7 linked regions of the Ovis aries genome follow. The protein of the gene in region 6 interacts with the protein of the main gene of each other region in a pairwise test. Links are inferred from orthologs where the notes say so. Each region holds a gene or a part of one and is shown on either strand. Other genes may lie near its edges. The genes, in order: HIP1, MAGED1, TOLLIP, RNF115, MAPK1IP1L, DAZAP2 and keratin-associated protein 8-1.

Region 1 (4,196 bases), on a different chromosome or scaffold from region 6:
ATGCCTCCAGGTATATTATTTAATCTAGTCTCCCATAATCAACCTGTGAGGTAAGTAGTATCCTTATTTTGCAATAAGGAACCCAAGGCTAAGAAAAGCTGGAAAACTTGCCTGGGACCACAGCCCCTCCATGTGCCTGGCTATCAAATTTCAGCCTCTTCCAGTTCCCATACCAGTGCTCGGCCCAGTACTCAGAAGCCACACAGAGCTGTGGTTAAAGGTTGGGATCACAACATGCTGTCTGACCTTGGGCAAGTTACTTAACTTCTCTGTGCCTCAATTTCCTCCAGATAAAATGTGGTTGATACTCACCTCATAGGTCCTTGTCAATATCACCTCACAGTACTTTACTGAAATTAAAGAAGGTGATACAATAAAGTACTCAGAAAAGTGCCAAACATAATTAGTTACAATCATCCGCCCACCTTCACTGATTCCATGGTCTCTTAACTCATTAAATTTTTTTTATAACTCATGTTCATATGGCTCAGACTGTAAAGAATCTGCCTGCAATGAGGGAGACCAGGGTTCGATCCCTGGGTTGGGAAGATCTCCTGGAGAAGTGAATGGCTGCCCATTCCAGTATTCTTGCCTGGAGAATTCTGTGGACAGAGGAGCCTGGCAGGCTGCAGTCCATGGGGTAGCAAAGATTCAGACACGACTGAGTGACTAACACACACATACATTGGGTAAGTAGTCATTAAACAATACACATTTTTGCAGATTGACTAAGGTGAGGTTTTTAGAATTGTTCTCTTTCCTTTTCTTCACTCTCTTATTGCCCTAATAGTTTCAACAACACAGAAACTCTTTTCCTGATTCATTCTACCTCCCTTACACACACACACACACACACACACACACACACACACACACACACACACGCCACTAGCTCAAATCTGGCCAATTATCAGTGCCCCACAGAATGTAAGATACTGCCTAACACTGACCTAGACTCTCCTTGTTGGGACGTCCCTGGATAGCTAGAGAAACTTTCACAAACCTAATTTCCATCACTATAATGGGTCAAACTCTTATGTGTATTTCTCTATTGCTCCAGTTTTTACTGGAGACTCTAAAAGGAATGAATTACCATTTATTTTCCTTGTCCATTACAAGAAAGATTTACACTGTTTCCTGGAGCAAGAAGCCTTGTGTGCCCAGGCAGCTAGACGAGGGCATAATGCCCATAGCAGACAAGCATCTTCCTTCCTTTCTGGGGTCCAATCCACAGAATTAGAAAATAAAGCTTAAACCCAGCCAGACCCTGGGAGAGAGAAGTAAAGAGCCTTCTCTCCCATCCCGTGTGGGGTAGAATGATGACCTAGGGAGGGGACACTGCCTACTTTACACCACCTGGACACACCTGTGAAGGGCCAGAGGTGCCTGGAAAAAGAAGAGGAATTAGTCTCCTGGGTTTTCATGAAAAGTTTCCTTCTTTGCAAGATTCCCTACATGGAACACTCGATCAGGACCTCACAATCTTTATCTAAAACCCCACTGCCCTTCCTTCACATGGTACTAAGTTTGGGGAGGGCGGTGGGGAGCAGAACAGAACGGGAGAACCAGCTTCTGGCAGCGGAAGCCCCCTGGCTCTTCAAAGGTTTCACTCCGAGAGCAAGAGTGAGCGCGAGTGAGGAACAAACTTGCCCATACAACTTCAGCAGTGGGATTAAAAGAAGTGCTGTGCCCTTCGAAATGGATTTTGCATACAAACCAGCCGATGAACACCATAAACATGTCAGCTTTATTCAGTCCAATCAATACACCAGGCATTAAAACTCTGAGGTAAAAATGGATTGTGGCTTTTTGTTGATGACAGTGAGGAATTTTGGCCCCTAGCCCTGCTCAGGCTGGACAATTTAGGGCAGGCTGCCTATTAGCTGTCAGGCACATTTAGGGGGATGAAATCAAAACCCCGATTCAGGGTTCTGGGCACCCCAGAACAACCCAACTTGACCCGAATCGGGGCCACTGGTCCAGGACCCTCAATATCTGTCCTTGGGCCGGCCCCCTCCTCCAGCCCCCGGTCATCTTCCAAACTCGGCCACACACCGCATTTCCTACATTCCTTCCTCCGGGCTCAGACCCCTTCAGTCCGGTCCTCCGAGGCCGACAGCTGGGGGCTGGCGTGAGCCAAGCTAGAGGCACAAGGAAGGGGATGCTAGGGACGGGGGGAATGTCAACGCAGTCCTGAAGTGATCGAGCGGAGAGTACAGGGCGCCCCAGCCCTCACATTCCCGACTCAGCGCCCCACTCTCTGCAGCCACACTTGCGACCCCCAGCGCCACCCCCCCCCCGCCAGGGACCTTCCCCAGCTAGGGGCACCCCTTCCATTCGGCCCCCTTTTCGCGTTCCTTCCCCTCTCACCGCCCCCGTGACCCCTGCCCTGCCCCGCCGGGACCGGCTCCAGTCGGTCGCACCGCGCGGACCGTGCCAGCTGCTCAGAGCCGCCCTGCCCTCTCCCCCAGGCCAGCCGGGATGGCCCCGGGGTCCCCGACCTTCCCAGACCGCCTTGACCACCGCACCAGATGCCCCCTTGCTCAGTCCTTCCCTGGGCCTGCAAGATCCCTACTCCCTTCGAGTCCCCTCCAGGACACTGCGGGATGCCCCAGCCGTGCACGACCGGGGGTGTCCCCCACCCCGCCCCGGTCCTCACCTGAGTCCGCTCAAAGCTCTCCCGCTCCGCAGCCTCCATCCCCGCGCCAACCCCACGCCGGCTCAGCACCTTCGGCAGGGGGTTGGGGACCTGCTTCATGGAGCTGGCCATCCGGTCCATGTCGCCGCGCGGAGCCGAGTCAGGGGCCCTCAGCCGCCCCGGGATCCCCACGGCGCCGCCCGCCCCTCCCTATCCACTGGGATCCGGCGCTAACGGGAAGGCGCCCGCCTCCCATTGGCTGAGAGCGCTGCTACTCTGCCGAGGCCCCGCCCCAGCCCAGAGGCTTCCCCGTCCGCCCCCGCCCTCTCCAGAGCCCCCGCCCCGGCCCTACCCTGCAGGGCGCTCCGGACCGTCAGGCGCGCCGGGACGGGCCCGGAGGCCTGTCGGTCACCGGCCTCCACCGCCCCTGGCGGGGGCGGGCCTGACCTGCCCTAGCCCGCCCCTTCCCCGACGCCCAGAGCGCGGCTCTCCCAGCCGCTGGCTGCACCCGCGAGCTCCCAGCGAGCCGCACTCTCCCAGTCCCCCCACCCCACCCCGGGCGCCGCGAGGTCCCGGCTTGGTTGGTGGGCGGGGGTCAAGCTGGCGGTGAGTTGGGCCTGCCGCAGGGAATCCGGGCCCGCGTGGGACTGGCCTGTTAACTCTTTTCGGGCCGGAGACAAGAGCGCGCGCGATGGACCAGCTCGGCGGCCCCTGTCCCAGGATGCGCTTGCCCTGAGGCCGGGCCTCCGCAGGTTGGTTCAGCGGGTCGCAGACCTGGCCGGCGTGGGTAGCGGCTCCCACCGCCTTCTCCCTCGTCCTGCCCCTGCCCCGAATCCCTGCCCATCCCTTTTGTAATGTTCGCAGACCAGGGAGCGCTGGGCTGGGTCAGTGGAAACTTCTCGACACCTTTACAAACCTCTCACCCTCTGGATCTGGTCAGGATGTATTCGTTGGTAGAAACCCATGTGGACATTTTAATATTTATCCCCGGCTCTGGGACACCCCTCCCATCCTGCTCCGTCGTCAGCCAAGGTACTGACGACAGGCGTAGGGGGGATGGAAGGGGGTGGAAGTAAGATCCTTAGCCGAGATGCTGAAGAAAGTTAAAAGTTTTCTGTTCAAATGCCAATTTTGATGTTTTAAAAATAAATGCTTTTTGCAACTCAAAGTAAAGAAAGGCGTTACTTTTTTTTTTTTTTTTTTGACTAAGAGCTTTTGATAAAAATTCACACATTCAATAGAGAAGCAGAAGAGGGGGTGGGCCTATGTAGGCACTGGGGAGCCTCTGACGGCTTTGCCAGCTGGCATCGTGTGGATGGGATTCTGGGGGCGACGGGAAGGAAGGGAACCAATGGGGAGACTCCGGCAGTAGGTGAGAGCCCACGAGGGCCTCCACTAGCAAGCCAGGAGAGAGTTCAATCCTGTGGGAGGTTCTGTGAATCAGTCAGTTCAGTCGCTCAGTCGGGTGGGACTCTTTGAAACTCCATGGACTGCAGCAGGCAAGGCGTCCCTGTCTGTCACCAACTCCCAGAGCTTAGTCAAACTCAGGTCCATCGAG
Region 2 (4,173 bases), on a different chromosome or scaffold from region 6:
TGATGGACACTTGGGTCGTTTCCATATCCTGGCCATTGTAAATAGTGCTGCTAAGAACACTGGAGTGCACACACCTTTTCAAATTAGTGTTTTCACTTTTTCCAGATATATACCATGAGTGGAACTGCTGGATCATGTGGTAGGTTACACAGTGGTGACAATGCTTTCAGCTGTACCCTTACGTATTCATACCCCAATTAAAAATTTAAAAGGAAAAAAAAAGAATAAAAAGTTTGAAAATGGGAAAAAATTTCAAGTAAAAAGTCATCACACTTTTCAGCTCTTAACATTTATAACTAGGAAGTAAATCAAGTACCTGATATAATTAGACTTGTGAAAGAAAGCTTACAAAATGAAATTTTTATATCCAGACTATGTCTAATAAAATATTGAGTATTTTCTACTTCTCATTAATAAACAGAGACAGAGAGAGAGAAAGAGACGATCAGGCCAGGACTGAGTATCTGACAGATTTTAACTCCATTAACTCCACTACCATTTAGCAAGTTACTACCCACCTGAGTCTAGGTTTTGTCATCAGGAAAATGACAACGATGATACTGACTTTAAACAGTGGTTCTGAACATTAATTAGGGAGCCAACTACATTAAAAAGGTTGTTTATAAAGACAGGCACTAAATTCATTTCAATTTACCACACCAACATTTATGGGCAACATTATGAACACGCAGTGAAAAGAGCAGTGAGAGAGGAAAGCAAATACGCTGTAGGACAGCATACAATGCACCACAAATTAACACACTGAGGAAGAGGTCAGGATAGAGGCAGACGTGTCTTCCCAGAGGGGCTGGTAACTGACAGTTCACCTAAATGGTAGCAACAAGCTAGCCAGGAGAAAGACAATATGGGGAACTTACATGGACAGATTAGATCATTCGAGTAGGCAGTAAGTGTTAGTCACCCAGTCGTGCCGACTCTTTGCAACCCCATGGACTGCAGCCCACCAGGCTCTTCTGTCCATGAGATTTTCCAGGTAAGGATACTGGAATGGGTTGCCATTGGCTAGTGACCACAGGCAGAGGGAAGAAGAGCGAATGTTGGAAGCAAAATGACCAACAAATGCAAAGCCACTGTCATAAATATATCCTGGCTTCCCACTCATATATGTATAGTCTGTGCCCTCTTTTCCTTTAGATTTCTGCTCAAATGTCACAATACCAAGGAGGCCTTTCTGCCTTTCCTATCTAACATAGTACAACCATCTCTATCACAACCTATTATATATTTATTTTATATTCACTCATTGTCTCTCAACTATACTTAATCATCCCTTATTTTGGCAAGTCTAACACCTTACAGAAGAGGGAATAAGTTGCTTGTTCAAGGAGACTGCTAAATTCCGCTTTATAACCTGAAATACCCCTCACCCTCATTATAAATTTACTTTTCTCTCTCTTGGAATTGAAATAAAAAATTGTGATAATTAATGAACAGTCTTGCAAGACAGTTTAGACATGATAAATGGTGCAAAGACGTAAATTCACATTGCAACAAATGAAAAAGACAAAATTCATATTACACCAAATAGATAATACATGCATAGCTCCTAAAAAAAAAAAAAATCTTTGTCTGAAAAATCTGTCAACTTGCTCTTCAATGTTGCTACTGAACAACAGGAAAAGATTTACATAATAAACCCAACTCACATGAATTAATAAATTTGTGATTGGATGTCATCTCTGTCAACCATTTCTGCCCCGTGAGAAATTCTAAAGATGGGAAAGCTTCCCTCTTCTAAAGCTGACACCAAGTTATAAGCAAAACTCACTACATTTGTCACTCAAAATTTGGAGATTCAGTTGTATACCAAAATTTTTTTATGTCATAGGCTGAAACCAGTGCAATATCTGATATGGGATTTCGTTTAGGGTAATAAATAAATACAAGTACATAATCTGAACAAGTTCCTACGTCTCTGAGAGCTCTAAAAATTTTCTGCTCCATTGCTGATTTTTAAAAACAACAAAAACAGCCTTGCCCTTGAAATTGAAGTCACACCTAATTTTATAAAGTATTAATAAATAATTCACTGTCCTCCGCAGAAGCAGGACCAAAGAGAATCAGAAGTCTTCAGGGGAGTAAAATACTGGGGTCTAAAGGGGAAAAAAAGGGAAGAATGTAGGCTCAGACTAGGGGAAAGAAAGAGAAGTCTCTCGGCCGTTTCCGACTCTTTGCGACCCCATGGACTGTAGCTTACCAGGCTCCTCCGTCCATGGGATATTCCAGGCAAGAGTACTGGAGTGGGTTGCCATTTCCTTCTCCAGAGGATCTTCCCGACCCAGGGATAGAACCTAGGTCTTCCGCATTGCAGGTAGACACTTTACCGTCTGAGCCATCAGAGAAGCCAGAGTCGGGGAAGAGGGTAGCAAAAGTTCTGAAGCTAAGAAGAGGGCGGGGTGGAAGGTGGGAGTAAGAGGTAGGAAAGAAATCGATGGTACAGGGAATGACCCAAGTTCATAAAGACCGGGAAGAGGATTCGAGATTAAGAGGTGAAGTGAAGAATAATCAGGGATAAAAGGACCATAAGAGTCAGAAGGAGGGGATGACGGCCAGCCATCTCCTGAGGAGTGAGAGAGTGAAGACAGAGATCAGAACCACAAGCGTCAGAAACATCCTTCAATGTACCCTGGAAATGAATTCTTTCCACCTCGTGGCGAAACAAAGAGGAAAGCGTTCCTGAAGTGTTTGGGGACTCACTTGTGAAAATTATCAGTCCCTTTCTTTACACTCACCTTGGTGAAGAACGCCGCGACAAGATGAAGGCGTGACCGGAAGTGCTAATTTCTTTTGTTTGGCGGAAGCTTTTGCCCAGGACGCCACACCCTCACCCCCGCCCCCATCACTCCCCACCCCACCTCCGCCTTCACTCCAGACAACTTCCTGTGCCTTTCTAGCAAGCTTTTGAAATATTGTATCTCAATGGCTCTCTCACCAGATGCGCACCTGGATAGTGACGTAGGATCTCTGGAAGAAGGAATCAGTAACTTTTTACAAATCCTACTAGCCCTAGTCATCCAAGGAACTGTAGCATCTCTGCCAAACTCTGTGTATCCTATTTGTCACCTCGCCTTGCTGATTCAGACGTTCAAGTACTGTTACTTCCTTAACTCTCGGATGTCTACAGCTACATATTTATCATACTGATTAACTGCTTTCTGGAATTAAAAAAATAAGTTCATTTTAATTACTAGTATAAAAATTTCAAGATGTAATTAGCCTCCAATTAAAATAAATAAATTTAAATTTAAAAAAATTTCAAGATCTTTAAAAAGTCTTAAATCTGAATCATTTCCGTCTTGGAATGGTATCCAGAGAGTAACATTCCATACTTAAAATTTGCAAAAGAAAGTGAACTCATTTAGAAAGCATTCTTGTGTACTTTTATACCCCTCCCACCCAAATGAAGACAATGATAATTGACAAAAAGTTTCAATAATAAAAATAAGCCTTACTTTGGTTAAAAGTTCAATATTGAGTTACCTATTGCTGTTACCTCCAGAAAACTCCTCTAGGGCCAAAATCTGTACCCCAGTTCTTCTCTTTTGTGGTTATTTTCAGCCAGTTTGCAAGTGTACCAAATACTGCGTTAGACCCAGAGACATGGCACTAGAAGCCACAGCCTAGGGGCTAAGGCAACATTTAAACACGTAAGAGTCTAGCATAAAATAGGTGATTATAGATGCTTGTGGAATGAATAAGTGACCAAAATGTGGTCAGGGCAATGACAAAGGCTAGCACAAGGTCTTTACTTTTGCTAGTATTTGTATAGTTCATTTCAGCATTTAACTCATGTTTTGTCATTCAACCAACAGATTTTGAACAACCACTTGGTGTAAGGTTCTGTTTCTGATATTGTCCATATGAAGAAGATTAAGATAGAATCCTGGATTTCAAGACCCTCCAATCAGTGAGGGAAATGAACACATAAAGAACTAGTAGCACTATAATGTGACAATAATAATAGATGAAGAGAAGACAGTGTTGAAACTATGGCTACTCCATCGACTGGTGAATAATTAAAATCTAAAATACTCCTTATATACTAGAGGGTACTCAGTGAAGACTTGTTTAATGTTGAATACATGATGGAATGGATGAATGGAAAGGAAGAAAGATAGTGGATTTGAAGTATAGTGTGAAAGAAGCAGTGAT
Region 3 (4,041 bases), on a different chromosome or scaffold from region 6:
TTCAGGGACAGAGGGAATCTCCCCAAGTGGGCAGGCCCACTTCTGCCTTCATGTGCCTGGGGACCCTGCCCATCCGTCCTTCACCAGGCGCCGGAGGAGACAATCAGACTTCAGAGTCAGCCCAGGTCCCCTGGTCAGTGACCCTGGGCTGAGGCTGAGTGCTGCCTGTCCTGTGTGAGCCAGGCTGGGACCCCCCGCAGAGGCTGGCCCTTGGGCGTGCCACCCAGCCGGGACCCAGCGCATCCGCGGGCCTCCACTGCACCAGGCACGCACAGGACAGCCCCCGCCAAGTCCATGCATCCTGGCAAGGGAAGCGGTCTCCACCAGACTCTAGTAACCGCAAAAGGAAGGGCTCCCCAACGCCGATAACTGGAGAGGAAGCCTCTACAAGTGTCGTTCACCCACGGGGGATAGGCTGGTGGGGAGACGTAGAACGAGAGGGTAGGTACCAGGCAAAAGCTCTAGAAAACACAGAAAGCCCACTCGAGTGACCCCCCGCCCCCCAGCACAGGCACCCCAGCAGGAGCTCCCAGCCTCGAAGCAGTGGCTCTCCCCACCCTCTCCAGCTCTGCTTTCCACGCTCCCCTTCCCTTAAGTCTCGGTCAGCCGTGCTTCCTCCACAGCCCTGCTCACCCCACGCCCTGGCCCAGGGAGGCTACTGCTCACCACGATTCCAGGCCAGACCTTCAGGCCCAGGCCTGGCTCCTCTGTGAGCCTGACGGCGGCATCAGTGAGCCGTGCTACCCAAGACGCCGAGAGCGCCCGCACCGAGGCCAGTGCGCCCGAGGGCCGGAGCCCCCAGCTGCTCTGGCCCTGACCGAACCTCAGGGCATGAGCTCGGCCCCTGAGGAGCACCCCCACACCCCTGCCAGTCCACGCGTGGGGCCCAAGTCCCCGACAAGAGAACGTGCCAGTCGTCCGGGTCACTGGGAGCTCAACAGCACAGGCCTCACATCCAGACACCCCCTGCCGCCTGGGCCCTGTCACAGCCCTACCTCAGCGCAGGGCCAACATCCCTCTGGACTAGAGGAGGCCCGCCTTCACCACGCGCTCCCCTTGCCTGGGTCCCAGGCCTGCGCATGTCTGCCTGCGGATCCCGCCTGGCGAAGGCACAGAGCTCCCAGCAGGTCTGACCCAGGACAGAACCAACACCCGTCCCTGCTGCCCCTATAGAACGGAGGAAGTGCTGACGCTCAGCCTGCTCCAAGCCACTGTGTGCAGTGAAGACGGAGACGGGAAGCCAGGGGCCAGAATCCACCCTACGAACTCCGGGACCTTTCCACATGCATGTCTGTCACGAAGCCCTGTCACGTCCCATTCAAACGGTCAGAAAGAACACCTGTGCCCAAAGGGCTTCCAACAAGACCTGCCTTCCTCAAACTCAGAAAGACGCCGTGTGGATAGATTCGTCTCCCGCTGGCAGAGACACAGACAAGATCTGTCCATCCTGGCGGGAGAGTGAAGAGCCAGGGCTGCGGGGACTTCCCTGGTGAAGCCACATCAAACCATCAACCAGAACCTTGTCCCAGCTGAAGGCTCTGACTGTGATTAAAGCAAACAAACCCTCACCGCTCATGGTCAGGCACCCCAACCCAGTCTGAACGGGGGCTAGAGGTGACTCCCCAGGAGCCGAAGCCTTGCTCTTGGACAAGGACACAGCAGCCGCGCAGGAGACAGGACTCCAGGGCCAGGGGCAGAAGAGGACTCCCAGCTCAGGACCCCTCATGTGTTACCAAAGGAACCGAGGGACACAGCTGGGCCTGGACCCTCCTTCATCCAAGCCTGGCCGGGTGGCTCCTCTACAGACGGACACTCTAGGCACAGGGTGTTGCCTCCTCCCGGGGACCCAGCGGGTGCCGACCCCGCCCGACCCCGGGGCCCGCCGGTGGGGGCGGGGCCCCCTCCACCCGGGGACGCAACGGGCGCCGACCCTCCCCCATCCCGGGGAACCAACCGGCGCCGACCCTCCTCCTCCCGGGGACGCAACGGGCGCCGACCATCGCCCATCCCGGGGAACCAACGGGCGCCGACCATCGCCCATCCCGGGGAACCAACGGGCGCCGACCATCGCCCATCCCGGGGAACCAACCGGCGCCGACCATCGCCCATCCCGGGGAACCAACGGGCGCCGACCCTCCCCGGCCCCGGGGAACCAACGGGCGCCGACCCTCCCCCATCCCGGGGAACCAACCGGCGCCGACCCTCCTCCTCCCCGGGACGCAACGGGCGCCGACCATCGCCCATCCCGGGGAACCAACGGGCGCCGACCATCGCCCATCCCGGGGAACCAACGGGCGCCGACCCTCCCCGGCCCCGGGGAACCAACGGGCGCCGACCATCGCCCATCCCGGGGACGCAACGGGCGCCGACCCTCCCCGGCCCCGGGGAACCAACGGGCGCCGACCATCGCCCATCCCGGGGACGCAACGGGCGCCGACCCTCCCCGGCCCCGGGGAACCAACCGGCGCCGACCCGCCTCCTCCCCGGGAACCAACCGGCGCCGACCACCCCCCGCCTCGGGCGCCCGGTGAGCGTGAGGCCTCGTCCTCCCGGGGGCCCGCACGGTGCGCGGCCTCTCCCTGCCGGGGACTCCCTTCCGCTCGCACGGAGCCCGGCGTCGGCCTGTGCCCGAAGGCCGCGGAGCCCGCCCCCGCCGGAGCCTACCGGCCCGCGCTGCGTGCTGACGGTGGTCGCCATGGTCCGGCCGGGCCCGCGCGTAGCCCCCCGACAGCCGCCAGAGACGCGAGCCGACGGCGGTCCCGCGAGGCCGCAGCCGCCTCAGTCAGCTGACGGCGGCCCCGCCCCCCCCGGCCCGGACGCAGGCGCAGAGCGCGCCGCCGCTTCCGGCTTCTCGCGCAGGCGCGCGCGCTCCCGCCGGGCGCCTGCGCAGTCGCGCCCGCCGCGCCGCGGCCGCGTGAAATGGCTCCCGGGCCGGCGCTGTGCGCTTGCGCGCTGGGGCGCGGCGGGCAGCCGGGCGCGGCCGGCCGGGGCGGGCGGTGACGCGAGCCGCCGCGGCTGCCGCGCGGGCTCGTGGCCCGGCCGCGCCCCGCGAGCGGCCGGCGTGACCCGGTGCGGCCGCGGCCTTCCGAGTGTTCCGGCGGTGAGGCCGCGCGATTCCCCTGCCGCCCGCCGGCCCCTCGGCTCGGTGTGCCCGACGCTGCTGGCCGGGCGGCCGCTGGGGTCTCCACGCAGCCCTGCGCTTTTCCATCCGAGGCGGCTCCCCCGGGCCTGGCGTTCTGCTCCCGACACCGGCGGCTCCCAGGCGGCGGTGGCGCGAGACAGCCGCTGGCCGCTCCAGGCCGCCGCGCGGATTCCCCCGCCAGTGGCCACCCTCTCGCGCCCGAGCTGGAGCGCCGCGTCCCCCTCGCGCCACAGCCTCCGCCGCCCGCCAGTCGCCTCTCCCGGATGGGAAGTATTAAGGAGCTTCCAGATGGCACCCAACCCACAGCGAGACCCCGCGTCCTTAAACCTTACCCGGAATCACCTATAAGAGCCCCCATCCTACACGGGGTCCCCCTGTGCGTCCCCAGGGTGTCTGGTTCGTCGAGGTGCAGGCGTTCCCGGTGGCCTGCCTGGAGGGCACTTTCACACCCGAGGCTTGAGCCGTCCTTGCCCTGCTGTGTGCCTCCCAGAACCTTCAGAAGTAGCCAGCCCACTGCGCAGCCTTTGCAGTCCCGCATTTGCCCAAGCGGCTGGCTACCCACTGGCACGGCGCCCCATGCCGCCGCTGGTGACCATTTTAGGAACTGGGATGTCCCTTGTCCCTGGATGACACGGGCTCCTGGTACTCGATTTCCCTGGGCAAGGACTTTATCCACACACTCATCAGATAGACGTGCACCTCAAGGCCAGAATCCCATTTAGAGCCTGTTTCCTGGGGTCACTTCCGGTGGCAATTATAGTATCAGTCAGGGTCCCGGCAAGAAACAGCGGGTGTTCTCGGGAAGAACACTGCAGAGATTTCAGCAAATGTCCTGTTTACCAAGAAAGGGCGAAGTGAAAAAGCAAAGCATGAGAGACTTTTAGTCTCAGGGAGCTGCC
Region 4 (3,500 bases), on a different chromosome or scaffold from region 6:
TCTACTAAATTACAAAGCTCTCTCTAACCCCATCCCTCATGCCCAAAACCAGTGTGACAGACCAAGAAAGAGACTAACCAAGAAAGAGACTCACCAAAGACTCATCTTCTTGATCACTCCAACCATGAAGGGCTGAGAAGACCACACCCATGGTGCCCCTCTTGTCACCCTTTTTGGTGGACCAACTGTGGTTACACGTTCCCATCATTTATTTTTAAGACTTTCACATTCCAACAACATTCTTAAGCTTCTTCATTTATTCAACTTTAAACACTTAAATGCACCAAAGAGCATGTACATGTACACGGGACACAGGCTGAAAAAAGAAGGCCTATCTCTCCGAGGCCAAGTTGTTTCCGCATGATCACAAAAATCAATATGACTCCAAGTATAACCAGAACCAAGCAAACATAAAGAGGTTTCAGAGATGAAAATGCACTTTAAAAATTAAAATGAAACAACATAAAGTCTCAATTCCTGAAGACCAATGAATTATTAAAAAAACATGAATCAGCTGCAGAAGCAGTAATAAAATAATCCTATTTCTGTGAGGGAACTTACTTTAAGGTCCCCAGGATAAACAGTGAGCTGAGAATCACTAAAAAACCTCAGAACCAGAGATTTCAAACATCTGTCTTTCTGTGCCTTTATCCTGCCCAACTTATTCCCAAATAGGAACCAGAATCAGATTCCTACCAACGTAAGACTCTTAAGACATGTCATTTGTCATGTTGGTTTCTGCAGAAGCTGCATCTTACCAAGTAGTCTTTAAAAATAAAAATGAGAAAACCAAAGAGTACAATCAGAAGCCTTCCCACTGTAACTTTGTTTTGATTTGCTCTCTAAAGATTTCAGAAAAAAAAAATCATTAGTCTCAGATTCCTGATTTAATATGACTTTACTCCATGGCTAACGTGGCCAAGAGTAAATGCTTGTGTACAATTAAAACAGAAGCACTTTATCAGCAGGGCTTTACGGCTGGTTCCACTGTATTTACTATAAAGTACACTAACGACGGTGGAGGTTGAAGAAAGAGGTGGAAACAACCGTCACAGGTAACATGACAGACAGCAAGACCCTAGGTAGACTTTAAGGAACCAATTCTATTCTGGCAGGGGAAACCCACATAATTAACCAATTCTATTCTGGCAGGGGAAACCCATATTAATTAAGTTTCACACTTACAAAATTATCACTCTGAATTCAGGAATAAGAGGCATTTGGTTCTAGATACAATTCCATCTGTAGACACTAACTTTAAATTTAGAGAAGAAAAACACTCAGTGAATTAATATTATGAGTTGGGGTTTCTTAAGTGATTCCTAAATCCACCTACTATTTTTTTTGCATTGATACAAATAATAGCTGTGATAGGAGGTCTACCATAGCCCTGGCTCAGACGTGGTCTTTAGTTTCAGAAAGTCCATCGGTCATGTAGCTGGCTGTCAATGTTAAATCTGTTGCTTGCAGAAGCCCCGGATCTCTGTGTTTGCTGAGTAGAGTCCTCACCATTTAAGCTCTTCCTACATACAGGACATGCGTCATGCTGAAACAAAGATATAAATCCACGTGAACAGCCTGACCCGAGAAGCTGGAAGAACTAAACATTTAAGAAACCCTGAGAGTTAGCAGGTAGATAAACAAAAAGGGCATGCCTTCTCACAGAGTACCTGCTGGGCTTCAAGTGTAACCCCAGGACATTTCCCAAACAGAACTTTTAACAGAACTGACAAAGAATTCAAGGCAGCAACATAACGATAGCTAACACATACTATCAAACAGAACTAACTAGAAACAATGACTGAGATGGACTTAAGCAGGGGTCAGCAAACTTGCTCTGTTAAAGAAAAACTAGTAACTATTTCAGACTCTGCAGGCCATACCACCAATGTTGCAACTACTTAACTCTGCTGAGGGAGCACAAAAGTAGCCATAGACCATCTGTAAACAAATGAGCATAGCTATGTTCCAATGAAACTTCATTTACAAAAATATGTGCCAGGCCACAGAAACCTATAGGCTGTAGTTTGCTAACCCCTGGTCAGAGAAGTTCTGAACAGATTAACAATCTAAAACACAGTAATGGTGCTACTAGGAGTTAGCCAGAAACTAAAATCTGATTTGTTTGGCTCTCCACTAACTGTTACTTATGCCCTTACTGATCCCCCCAAGACATGACTGGCACAGGGGCCCTATCACAGATGAGAGCTGTCTGTACTTACCAGTTCTAACCATGGCACAATACAACTGCTGTGAAAGTAGTGGTTGCAGGGTAACTGCCGGACTTCCTCCTCAACTGTGTAATCTTCTTTGCATACTGGACACTCTAAGCCCTTATCTGTTAGAGGAGGAAATGCCTTTTAAAATAAGCAAAAAGAAGGAAGAAAACCTAGCCTAATGTCTTTAATAATCAAAGGTATACAAAGAAAAAACAAAGTGCATCTAGGGTGGAGGCAGAGAAGAAGCAGAATTTTACTTCAAAATGGGGACAGAGGTGGTAATAGCCAGGGACATGAAAAGGACTGAAGAATGGGCCCATTCCAATAAGGTCCAGACAGCAACTCTATGAGGTCTATTTTTCAACATAAAGAGTTGGAAGAACTGGGGCTTAGATTATCTGTTAAGTAAAACAGGAAAAATATCTTCTCAAATGTGTTCTGGCAGTTTCTACTTAGGAAACACTGGCAATCTGTCCACCACAACCAAAGGACTCATCTCAACAATCTTGGCAGTTCTCATTCAGTGTGTCAAGCCACTTTCACTCTACTACTTTCGACATTACACATTCTATTGCATCGTGGTTACCCTAAAGCCCTTTTTACAGGTGTTTATTAAAAGCTGTACCAAGAGGCGCTGCGACAGAACTGCAAGGGTAACTCAGGCTCCAAGTCCAGAGACAGGAAACCTTCTTCTGAGACAAAATGGCTACAAACTGAACTAGGATTACCAAGCAGCAAATTCCAAGTTTGGCTAATAACACCAGCTAGTCTATCTCTCCAGCAGCTAGGGTATGTATGCTACATGCTCCACAGTATTCACAGCATTTGGAGTAAAATACCACTTAAAAGATTCCCTCCCTCCTCTCTACTCCCACAATGTTTGCCCTGATTTCAGCTTTTACTTCTCATGCCTAGTTTACTGCAATAGCCTCTTAGGTAACAACCCTGACTCCAGGCCTGCCAAATATATCCTATACTTTGCTACCAGTTAGTTTTCCCTAATACCAGCTCCACAGCAATTCCCAGCTCATCTTTTCTTGGATTCTCAGTTGGGATCCCCAAAAGCAACAGATTCAAAATTAAAAACATCACATCACCTCCTTATTCAAACCAGGGCCTGCTCACAATTCTTCCATCCCTGATGATGTCAGCACCACCTCTGTAGTTGCAGAGTTGCAAAACTTTAGAATCATCTTTCCCCCTTTCCCCTCCTTATCTTATGCAATCAATGATGAAAGCGTTTCTTCAAAAATTATCTGAGTCTACCCTTTCCTTTGTAGC
Region 5 (3,986 bases), on a different chromosome or scaffold from region 6:
TTGTTTAGTATGGGGAAAGAATACTGGAAATATATTGTACTGAAAATATAAATTTTGAATGAGCATTTTTATGTGATAGTTTCTAGTATTGTCATTTATTAGCTAACACTCTGTTTTACATTTGGACAACTTAAGAAATTGGGATCTGCATGTTTTTGAACATTTTAAATTACTTAAAAATATGTAATTAAAAAAATAACTTTTCAACAAGGTCCTGTTAGTCCTATTTTCTACACTCATATTTATTGGAACCTAAGTGCTTGGTACTGCATTGGGCCTTGGGGAAATGAATAGTCTTAGGTGGAATAAACACTTAATGGCAGTTCAGTCTGGTGGAGAACTACCATTTAAACAGTAGGCTACCTGCGGTAAGTGCAGGGCACTATGGGAGCACCCTGAAGAGCTCCTAAAGGTATCAAGGAAAGGATTATCAAGGGAGGAATCCTGAGGAGTCCTGTCTTTGCAGTGTGGGAGAACAAAAAGACCTGGGGTAGGCCCTAGGGAAAGGAGCAGTTTGTGCAAAAGCTGGGGCAGGGACATATAAGCAGATCAGATTGGCTGCAATGTAGAAAGGGGAGGAATATGAAAGCTTCAACCAGAGAGTCTCTAGACCAAAGTTTGACCATCTCAGAGATAGCTCACCTCAATGAACCTGTTACTTCAACTATAATAATGGGTCCTTAAGGTCAGGGCTAAATGGGTCAGGACTAAATGGGACTGGTAAATCAAGTGCCTATAGTAAAAGTGCCTAGAGAACATAAATAAACATATCATCTTCTCTTCCTCGGTGTACGGGCTACTGCATATGGCTACAAGCCTGGGGAGGGGGGTCGGAGGGAAGTTCAAGAAGGAGGGGACATATGTATATACCTATGGCTAGTACAGGCTGATGTATGGCAAAATCCAACACAATACTGTAAAGCAATTATCCTTCAACTAAAAAAGCATTAGAAAAATAAAGGCGTGCACACCACAAGTATTTAAAACTAGGTAATGCTGCAGTTCACTGGTGGGCTCTGGACAAGCCAAGCTGTGCCAACCCCAGAGGTGAAAGCTGACAGTAGTATCCACCTCACAGATTTGCCGTGAGACTTACACAATAAATCTCCTGGTCACCGTCTGGCACGTAGCAAAAACTCAACAGGTGTCAGTTTCTACAAATTGCTATGATAGGTTTGTAAATTTTTACCTGCAGTTCTCAATTTAGAAACTTCTAGAAATGAAAGAAGTGTTCCCGTTTGACATAAAACTTACTTGGTGGACTTCCCTGGTGGCTCAGACGGTAAAGCGTCTGTTTACAATGTGGGAGACCTGGGTTCGATCCCTGGGTCGGGAAAATCCCCTGGAGAAGGAAATGGCAACTCACTCCAGCCTGAAAATCCCATGGACAGAGGAGCCTGGCAGGCTACAGTCCATGGGGTCGCAAAGAGTCGGACACGACTGAGCGACTTCACTTTTCATCGCTGCACAAATATTAATGCTGGATTGGGGACGCTGCCCCGACTCCGCTGGTGTGATCTCTCGTCTTTGTACCTTATCGTCTTTCTAAAACCTAAAGATAAAATTTTAGGATTTCTGAATTCCAAAACACACTGGTCCCAAGGATTTCAGTTAAGGGGCTGTCTCTGGGTCTCCATTCCTCGTGGAGAGAGAAAAAGGGACATTCCAGTACACATAACTCAAGTTTCTGAAACAAACTAGCTTTGAATAGAAAGTTCAGAGACACTCGTATTGAGAAAAATGTCTATTCCTCCTGCCCGAAGACCACTATTCCCGAACAAAGAGCTTCTGAAAGATTTCTGAAGGGTAACTTCGTCTTTAATGGAGGGTTCGTTTTCAAAACAAACTCACAGCCATGAAGCGTACGAGCGTGTATTTCTTTAGTAGCAACCCTATAAAAATGTTTTTCGTCTTCTGTCAGATGAGTATGCTTCCATGCTTCAACATTACTATCCCCATTTATTAAAAGCGCTACTCTTGGTTTTCAGAAGAAAACGGTCCAAAGCCACCAGGCGCTCCTAAATCCTAAAATAAGGGAGCACTACAGAACTCAACACTTCTCAGTTTGTCATGGATATTCATCTGAGTATCTGCTAGGAACTCCTCTAGAAAATGATGACAAAAAAAAAAAAAGATGAGCAAAACCTCATATTGCGAATAATCTTAAACTAGCGCCAAAGACTCCTACAAGAATCTTTCAGCCTTCCTCTCCCTTTCCTTAGCAATTAATGAGTAGGGGAGGGAGTCGGGGCCAAGGGGCGCTAGGCGGGTAGCCCTTCAGAGCCCAGCGAACAAAAGGAGTCCGGGATTAACCGGAGCGAACCGGCCTCCGAGCGGGTCGCGCCCGCCCGGGAAAGGGTGGGGGAGGGGCCAGGCCCGCTCCCCGCCCCGCCCCCCGAGCCAGGCCTGACGTCACCCGCCGAGAAATCCATCGCTACGACGTCACCCGCCCCCGACGCCCTCTCCTTGGGGGCCTAGCGGGCTGATTGCCCACAGCGGAGAGGAAAACCACGGGGAGAGACTCTTAGCCCCCGGCCCCCGCGAAGAGGCGTCTGAGGCACCTCCGTTACTGTCCCCGCGTCCCGCTTGGGCGGGCTCCCTCGCTCTCCTCCATGACCCCCCTAGCGCCGAGGCAGCCTCACCCGGCAAGATTCGAACTCGCAGCAAGATCTAGAAGTGGCGATGGGTCCGCGAGAACTGGGCGCTGAAGAACCGAGCGTAGCCCGACCGACGGCAGCGGAGACGGGGGCGGCAGCAGCACCAGCAGCGCGCGGCTCCTCCTGGCGCCGGAACAGGAAGCGCCGTGCTCGGACGCGCTGCCCCCACCCGGCTCCGCCTCCCCACTGGTCGGCGGGGCCCGGCCGCGCGCGCCCTCCTCAGGGCCCCGGTGGAACTGCGGCCAGCCAGTCCACGGCTGCTCGGCTGTTTTTCTCTCGGTGGGCGGGAGGAAAGATCCCTAGTTTCCCGGAGTTCTGAGTGTCTAAAGGAAACGCCAGTGGCGAGTTGCGCTCTGGCAGCCTGGAGGAAATTGTCTCCTGGAGAGGCTTGAAAGCAAGTTCTGGATTCCCTACACTTGCGGCATTTGAGAGTTAGGCCTCGAAGCTGGCTAGATGTGAATGCCTTCTAACCCGGGGCACAGATCCGTTGGCCAAAATTGTGGAGAGCTAAAGGAAATGGCAACCCACTCCAGTACTCTTGCTTGGAGAATCCCCTGGAGGGAGGAGCCTGGTGGGCTACAGTCCATGGGGTCGCAAAAGGTCGGACACGACTGAGTGACTTTTATATATTCTATGTAAAGCAACACTGCAGAAAAGTGAAGACGTTTGCAAATGGCTTGACAAATTGATATTAACAAAAGGAATGGATATCTTTGCAGGTTTTTTCTGATCAATATTTTTTTCTCCCCGTAGTTTAGTTTTGAATAAACCTTTACCTATCTACTCTGTGACAGACCCCAAAGGGGTCTGACCGCAGCGGTCAGGGAATGTGCTAGCTAACAATGAAGATGTCATAATTACGTGTTGTGCAAAATATACATATATAACACGTACATATGTTTTAGTGTAAAAATTAAAACGTATGCAGTATTATTAGATTTTATTTTCACTTGCTGTTAGTGGATTGGAGGGTGGACGTTTTACTATTAGCTTCTTAAACGAAGACTTATGTGGGTTTATTCCACAGCACACGTAATTCCCATACTGAAAAATGAGCGATAGAGAAACTTCGAACACCTAAGCCTGGGGAAAGTGAGAGAGGAGAGTGAAAAATTTGTCCTAAAGCTCAACGTTCAGAAAACTAAGATCATGGCATCTGGTCCCATCAATTCATGGCAAATAGATGGGGAAACAGTGGCAGACGTTCGTTTTTTTCTTTTTGGCTCCAAAATCACTGTAGATGGTGACTGCAGCCCTGAGATTAAAAGACGCTTACTTCTTGGAAGCAGTTATGACCAACCTAGACAGCATATTGGAGAAGGCAATGGC
Region 6 (4,208 bases):
TGTGATAGGCAGAGTAAAGGGATAAGAACAAAACAAAACCAAACCACTGATTTGGGAACCGGGGTGGGGGTGGGGACCAAGATAACACACCTGACTTTGTAACCTGTTCACTGTGTGACTTAGGGCAAATCTCTCATTTGAAAAACAGAAATGCTTAAACAAGCCCTGCCTGCCACACAGGGCTGTTGTGAAGATCTGTGATGACTCCATAAAATCATGCATATTAATGGTGTCCTGCAAACTGTAATTTGACACTGGAGAGAAAAACAGCGGACTGCTGATGAAGTGAGTACTGGTCTTTTCAGTGGTTTAAGTCATTCAACAGCAAATATGGATCAGGTTGCTAATGTTTACCGAGGGTTTTTCTTTTCAAAGCTTTCTTTTCAGATGCTTTTCTAATGTTCTTCCTACACTACAGAATGTAAACCATGAGAAAATAGCCTTGGGCTGTCTTGTTCAGCTCCATCTCTGTACCTGAACACAGCAAGCGTTCAGCAAATATCTTAAAGAATGGAAGCAATTGTTGCCTTAAAGGATGGCATCTTTGCTCTTAAGAACGATTAAGTTAGAAGAGAAGGGATACACAGAGAAAATACCTATCAGGTACCATACAGGTGTCTGTGACAGGTATCAAAGTAAGGGCCAGGGCATGGGTACTCCTTGGGTACCAAGAACATGCGTTTTAGTGCTAGCTGTTGCAGCGGGGTGGGGCGGGGCACAGCACAGCATACCCTTTCTGTCGGTGAGAAAGCGACACAGAAATAAAACACCGACAGCCTATCGGTAGAATAGAAAGGCAGTGAAGACTTGAGTGAGGGGAACGAGAGATAGATCAAGGGTTGCGAAGCATCTCAGGCAGTTAGGTAAGATTGTAGAAATCTATGTCCCGTGTGTGTGTGTGTGTGTGTGTGTGTGTGTGTGTGTAGGAATCTATGTCCCGTGTGTGTGTGTGTGTGTGTGTTAGTTTCCGGTTCGGTCCATGGGAAATGGCAACCCACTCCAGTATTCTTGCCTGGAGAATCTCATGGACAGAGTCGCACAGAGTCGGACTCGACCGATGAGACTTAGCAAGCATGCATGCCCCTTGTAGAAAGGCTGTCAAGGTGAGGTGACCTTGAGGTGCTGAACGTAGGTGGAAAAAGGTTCCAGAGAATAGTTTAATGTTACTGCCTCCGAGCGTTCAAGAGAGAGAAGATCCCGTTTTGAGACAATACCTGTATTTGGTTTTCCTTCAGCCGAGGGACAAGGGTAGGGGTTGGAGGACCAGACCCGGTGGGCGGGGCCTACGCGAGCGGACGGGATCACGCGGGCCCTCCCTCCTGCAACCGGCGGCCGGGCGAAGGGGCGGGGTTTCCGGTGGCAGCGGCACTCGGGCGTCGGGTGACGCTAGGCGGACAGATCGTCACGTGACACGGAAGTGACTACGAACAGGAAGAGGACGAAAAAAATAACCGTCCGCGACGCCGAGCCGAGCCGGACCCGCAGCCACCATGAACAGCAAAGGCAAGGATAGGGGGTGGCTGAGGCCGCCGGGGGGACTAGTGCTGGCCCGGAACGAGCGGGCCCGGAGCCCAGGGTCACCGAACGCCAGGCCTGGGGCGAGGTGCGCCGCGCTCCTGAGCCAGCTGCAGTGCCCGGGGCTGCGCCAGACACCTTCGTCATTCCCGAACTACGGCCGTTCGCTCCCTCACGGCCCTTTCTCCCTTAAACTCTGTGGCGCAGTTTGGAGCTGCGGACTCGGGTTGGGGGGGGGCTGTTGGGTGGGTGGGTTGGGGGGGTGGGGAGAAGGTTTGTCGTGATGGGCATCTGTAGGAGCAAATGGGGAGCTGGAGGCGAGATTTGGGTAGGCCAATGGAGAACTGGCAGAGGCGGGGCGCCGCGCTCCGGAACCACAGGCAGGCCTCCGGGCTTAACTAGTAAAGTGCCGCTCTGGTGGGCGGGCCAGTCGGGCCCGAAGGGGGTCTCTTCCCCCTTACCCTCGCTGGCGGCCAGAAAGTCTCCCGGTTTCTGTGTCAGAACATTCCCTTCAGCCCCCTCCACGATCTCAGCATTCACTTCCACCACTCACTCTTTTCATTTGGAAGTCGACCTTGAGTAGGAACCTGTGAGGTCGATGACCACAACCACCGTTACTCACGAGGTCTTGGTCAGTTACAACCAGACCTTTGGAGACCACGCAGGACAGGGAGACAGGACACACCGTTGAAATACCGGCTAGAGGGGATGCCCAGAACTGCCCTGCGTTCTGAGAGGATCTTGGGCCCAGCTAGACTTTCCCCTTACAGCAGTCGGCTACTGGATGTCCAGTTGGAATCCAGCTTCTTCAGCTTTAAGGGTGCAACGAGAATGCTTATTTTCTTGGCTCCAGGAATCAGGCCCTCTAGGGCAGTCTGTTTGGAAATCTCTTTTTGCTTATCCCAGCTAGATTAGCTACCCAATATGCCCTGCTTTGTTTTGGTGACTGTATGGTAGACAACATGCTTTTTTTCCCCCCTTGTCTTCCAGGTCAATATCCAACGCAGCCAACTTACCCTGTGCAGCCTCCTGGGAACCCTGTGTACCCTCAGACCTTGCATCTTCCTCAGGCTCCACCCTATACTGATGCTCCACCTGCCTACTCAGAGGTGCTTCCAGTTAACTTAATAATGGAATACTCTTGGATCATGTTTTCGGTCCTTGGCCAAGTCTGGCTCCACACATTTATTTACTTTCCACAAACAGAAGAGAGTGCTCACATGAATCATCTTAAAACGTGACATAGTTCAGCCATTTCTTTTGGGTTTGAGAAGGCATTATCTGATTGTTTTATGTTATTTGGCACTGGCTGAAGTTAAGAAGATGAGTTTGCATTCCCTGAGCCTAACATTAGCTATAGCAGGAAGTGATCCAGGAGAATATTGAGTGGCAGTGGAAAGGCAACTTGTGTAACTCAAAGAGTGTAATCTGCACAAGGAGAATTAAGACTTGACTCATTAAATTGAGATCTGAAATAGGAATGTCATGAAGTAACTTATTGCCTTCTCTTCTGCCTCTTCTAGCTCTATCGTCCGAGCTTTGTGCACCCGGGGGCTGCCACCGTCCCCACCATGTCAGCTGCATTTCCTGGCGCCTCACTGTATCTTCCCATGGCCCAGTCTGTGGCTGTTGGACCTTTAGGTTCCACAATCCCCATGGCTTATTATCCAGTTGGTCCCATCTATCCACCTGGTTCAACAGTGCTGGTGGAAGGAGGGTATGATACAGGGGCCAGATTTGGAGCTGGCGCTACTGCCGGAAACATTCCTGTGAGTATGACTTGGTCACAAAAAAGCTCGACCCTTGTGTATTTTAACTTTCTGAAATGACTGGTCATCCTTTCATCATCCCTGGGTAATAGTTGCTGGTATTGGTGTAATAATCACTGACGTCCAGTAGTCAGGCAGAAAGCACTCAAAGGGGCAGGAGAACCGTGGCCAGTCAGTAACATCTGGCGTACTCACTGATGTTAGAATTTATCAGATTCCTTTGTTTTCCTGTCTTAGGAGTCCTGCCTGCTGCTTTTCCAGTTCACTTTGATACTAGTTTAGTAACACTCCTCATTCATTCCATAAGCATTTATTTATATGTGCCATCAGCATGGCATCGTATTAGGAACCATGACGATTAAAAAAACAATGCATAATCCCTATTAAATTGCATTTAGAGAGATACTAGGGATTTTAGCAATGTCTCTTGATTAGTTCCCCTATGTATGGGAATTAGAGCCCATATGGTCCTTGCTAGGACCATCTACTCAATAACCATAGGCTAGGGATGAAGTGAAAATGCTGTCATCAGGTAGAGCCTTCAGATTATCCAGGGCCATTTGAAAACTGTCAGGCCCTGTGATATAAGTCCCTGGACCTGGTACCCGCTCCGTTTTGGGATGTGAATAGGAGTGATTTTCTGCACTGAAAATGCCAAGTCTGGACTTCCCACACTTAGAAGGTATCCATAGGCTTTATTTTGGATCCAGAACCCTTTAAATGAGTGGGTTTCCTGTTTATATCTTTGGCCTTACAAAGAATGTAGACCTGCTGGACTCAGATTGGTGGCCCAGATAGCTCTTTGAGATGCCGCTGGTTAGCACACTGCCATCTTCCTGATTGGTCCTTTTTCACCTTTGTCCACTTCCCTCCCATAGCTGCCCTCTGCCCAATCAACCTTGTCTTTTCCTTTCAGCCTCCTCC
Region 7 (2,310 bases), on a different chromosome or scaffold from region 6:
CTAGGTGGTTTGAGATGGGGGATCTATTCCTCCCTTAAAAGACTCTCAGATCCCTAAAATATGTCTATAGGTATTCTAGATTCTCCAGAATCCTTAAATAAGGGACATGGCATTTTATTTACAATCCTTGGTCCCCGAGAGGGAAAATAGTGGGTTTGATTTGTATTGATACAGGAATAATTGACAGAGTCCCTCAGTGTTGGGTTCCCTTGTGAGGAACAGGAGTAGCGAGATGCGGAGGGACACCAAGCAATGGATGGTGTAACACTGGCGCCAGAATCGGAGGAGGATGTCGCAGACTTAAAGGAAGGGTAAGATAGAATTTTTTAAAAAATCATAAGCAGACCCCTGTTGCCTGCTTCTCACACGAGAGCAGGATTATTTGCTTTCTCACTGCTTCTAACAACCACATGAGAAAACTAAATCCACTATCCACCTCACTGCCTGTTTCAAGAAATATGCGCACCAAGAAAGGAAACTCCACTCAAGTAAGAATATAATAGCGGTTGAGACAAGTTTATTGAGAATTTGACAGACACATCCACAACTTGATAATGACAAGAGTCATGAGCATGGTGAAAAATTCAAACGTAAAACGTGTTTGGGTGTCAAGTTTCTCAAAATGTCCCAACAAACATCATGCAGGGAAGGCAGCTGGAGGCAAGTGGTTTTTCATCTTCTTCCCTTGAGACTCTGGTGCCGATGTGAAAAGCAGCTAACTGGGAGGCTGATGAGTCTCTGAGGACCTGGAAGTCCGCCTCGTGGGTTTGGGGGAGAAGATTCCATGCCTCTGGTATTTCAGCAAATCAGTAGAGAGCAAATGGCCAGAATCTTCGGCAACCGAAGGCCCCAGAGCCGTTGTAGCCATAGCCGAAGCCATAGCCCACTGGGGAGTAGGTACTACCGTAGCCACAGCCCACACTGTAGCCCAGCGGGTAGCCATAGCTGCCCCAGTAGCAACCTGGGAAGACGGTGCTGGAGAAGCAGTAGCTCATGGTGTCTGGGTTGGGCGGCTTGGAGAGCAGGGAATGAATTTCCTCAGTATGATGGATTCCCTATGCTCCCTTCTTTATATACCCGGGCTAGGGGACGTGGCGAAAAACACAAGGCGTCATTTTCATTCTTGACACCAATTTGCTAATTAGTTTGTGTTGCTTGCTTAAGATGTCTTTACAGTTGCTTCAGAAAGCTCTCATGTGATAGAATAACAGGGGCTGGAGTCCTTCCTGTAAATTGTGTCCCTTCATTAAAATACGCTTTGCAGAGTCTTCAAAGCCCTGGGTCTTATAAAGTCCTAAGTACAAGCCTCTGGAAGCAGGCTTTACAGTACTACGAAAATTTCTGAGGTTGTTAACTGTTATCCAGTCATCTTGTGCACTGAATTTCCACAGCACACAGTTGGAATTCAATAAATATGTGTTGGAAAAAATTGAATGAAATAACATATACATACTGTGTGTGTGTGTGTGTGTGTGTATGTGTGTGTGTGTGTGTGTGTGTGTGCGCGTGCTCAGTTGCGTCCTCAGTTGCGTCCAACTCTTTGTGACCTGGTGAACTGTGGCCTGCCAGGCTCCTCTGTCCATAGAATTTTCCAGGCAGGAATACTAGGATGGGTTGTTTTCTATTCCAGTGGATCTTCCCAACCCAGGCATCCAACCTTCAACCTTCGTCTCTTGAATCTCCTGCATTGGAAGGCGAATTCTTTACTACTGTGCTACCTGGAAAGCCAATACATAGTGAAATCACCTCGAGACTGAGATATTCTTTGTGTTTGTCTGATTAAACAATTTATTTTGGCTTTATCCAAGACAAATACCAAAGAGTTCATTGGAAAGACTCTTTTTTCCTCTATTTATAGCTACCGTGTTTACAAAACTGAATAAAATTTCAATTTTAATTATAATACCCACCTGAACTATATTTAACATCACATTTTTAAACCACTACCTGAACTAATAATCTTGTAAGTGTAAAAAAAAATGAAGCTTGTGGATTTATCCTAGAAATTAATTGTCAAATAACATGTTGGTCGAATATACTTTTTAAAATAAATGTTGAAAATAACAACAGAGTAAAAACAGAATAATGAATGGGAACTTTTACCTTAAAATGTGCATGATTTTTTCATTAGATCTAATAAAACCAGATTATGTAACAAATATGATGATCTTGTAAAGAGCCAGATGACAATATTAAATCTAAGTTATATCACTTTAAGGGTGATAATGCACCAGAATTGGGGAAAAAAATCTTCTCTCTAAATGGAAACTTAGTTCTCAAATATGAATTAAAGGAGGAATAAGACTGATC

The links.
Region 1: the proteins of DAZAP2 (region 6) and HIP1 interact in binary tests that used the Homo sapiens proteins (3 or more experiments, as listed by UniProt). The two-hybrid records come from large-scale screens. The link is inferred for Ovis aries from reciprocal best matches to the Homo sapiens genes DAZAP2 and HIP1.
Region 2: the proteins of DAZAP2 (region 6) and MAGED1 interact in binary tests that used the Homo sapiens proteins (3 or more experiments, as listed by UniProt). The two-hybrid records come from large-scale screens. The link is inferred for Ovis aries from reciprocal best matches to the Homo sapiens genes DAZAP2 and MAGED1.
Region 3: the proteins of DAZAP2 (region 6) and TOLLIP interact in binary tests that used the Homo sapiens proteins (3 or more experiments, as listed by UniProt). The two-hybrid records come from large-scale screens. The link is inferred for Ovis aries from reciprocal best matches to the Homo sapiens genes DAZAP2 and TOLLIP.
Region 4: the proteins of DAZAP2 (region 6) and RNF115 interact in binary tests that used the Homo sapiens proteins (3 or more experiments, as listed by UniProt). The two-hybrid records come from large-scale screens. The link is inferred for Ovis aries from reciprocal best matches to the Homo sapiens genes DAZAP2 and RNF115.
Region 5: the proteins of DAZAP2 (region 6) and MAPK1IP1L interact in binary tests that used the Homo sapiens proteins (3 or more experiments, as listed by UniProt). The link is inferred for Ovis aries from reciprocal best matches to the Homo sapiens genes DAZAP2 and MAPK1IP1L.
Region 7: the proteins of DAZAP2 (region 6) and keratin-associated protein 8-1 interact in binary tests that used the Homo sapiens proteins (3 or more experiments, as listed by UniProt). The two-hybrid records come from large-scale screens. The link is inferred for Ovis aries from reciprocal best matches to the Homo sapiens genes DAZAP2 and KRTAP8-1.

Annotation. Positions count from the first base shown.
Region 1 is NC_056077.1:34,461,034-34,465,229, forward strand, and holds the start of HIP1 (huntingtin-interacting protein 1), read right to left. Parts: upstream 2,801-4,196; 5' UTR 2,780-2,800; coding exon 2,660-2,779; intron 2,085-2,659; exon of another isoform or gene 1-2,084. UniProt on the Homo sapiens protein: Plays a role in clathrin-mediated endocytosis and trafficking. Involved in regulating AMPA receptor trafficking in the central nervous system in an NMDA-dependent manner. Regulates presynaptic nerve terminal activity.
Region 2 is NC_056080.1:53,694,871-53,699,043, forward strand, and holds the start of MAGED1 (melanoma-associated antigen D1), read right to left. Parts: upstream 2,801-4,173; 5' UTR 2,754-2,800; exon of another isoform or gene 2,647-2,753; intron 2,398-2,646; exon of another isoform or gene 2,274-2,397; coding exon of another isoform or gene 2,219-2,273; intron 1-2,218. UniProt on the Homo sapiens protein: Involved in the apoptotic response after nerve growth factor (NGF) binding in neuronal cells. Inhibits cell cycle progression, and facilitates NGFR-mediated apoptosis. May act as a regulator of the function of DLX family members.
Region 3 is NC_056074.1:46,562,165-46,566,205, reverse strand, and holds the start of TOLLIP (toll-interacting protein), read right to left. Parts: upstream 2,801-4,041; 5' UTR 2,698-2,800; coding exon 2,665-2,697; intron 1-2,664. UniProt on the Homo sapiens protein: Component of the signaling pathway of IL-1 and Toll-like receptors. Inhibits cell activation by microbial products. Recruits IRAK1 to the IL-1 receptor complex. Inhibits IRAK1 phosphorylation and kinase activity.
Region 4 is NC_056054.1:99,098,361-99,101,860, forward strand, and holds part of RNF115 (E3 ubiquitin-protein ligase RNF115), read right to left. Parts: intron 2,339-3,500; coding exon 2,223-2,338; intron 1,547-2,222; coding exon 1,415-1,546; 3' UTR 1-1,414. UniProt on the Homo sapiens protein: E3 ubiquitin-protein ligase that catalyzes the 'Lys-48'- and/or 'Lys-63'-linked polyubiquitination of various substrates and thereby plays a role in a number of signaling pathways including autophagy, innate immunity, cell proliferation and cell death.
Region 5 is NC_056060.1:65,599,142-65,603,127, reverse strand, and holds the start of MAPK1IP1L (MAPK-interacting and spindle-stabilizing protein-like), read right to left. Parts: upstream 2,801-3,986; 5' UTR 2,643-2,800; intron 1,343-2,642; 5' UTR 1,255-1,342; intron 1-1,254.
Region 6 is NC_056056.1:134,989,234-134,993,441, reverse strand, and holds the start of DAZAP2 (DAZ-associated protein 2), read left to right. Parts: upstream 1-1,408; 5' UTR 1,409-1,490; coding exon 1,491-1,503; intron 1,504-2,505; coding exon 2,506-2,624; intron 2,625-3,038; coding exon 3,039-3,284; intron 3,285-4,200; coding exon 4,201-4,208. UniProt on the Homo sapiens protein: In unstressed cells, promotes SIAH1-mediated polyubiquitination and degradation of the serine/threonine-protein kinase HIPK2, probably by acting as a loading factor that potentiates complex formation between HIPK2 and ubiquitin ligase SIAH1.
Region 7 is NC_056054.1:125,440,375-125,442,684, reverse strand, and holds keratin-associated protein 8-1, read right to left. Parts: upstream 1,040-2,310; 5' UTR 996-1,039; coding exon 807-995; 3' UTR 501-806; downstream 1-500. UniProt on the Homo sapiens protein: In the hair cortex, hair keratin intermediate filaments are embedded in an interfilamentous matrix, consisting of hair keratin-associated proteins (KRTAP), which are essential for the formation of a rigid and resistant hair shaft through their extensive disulfide bond cross-linking with abundant cysteine residues of hair keratins.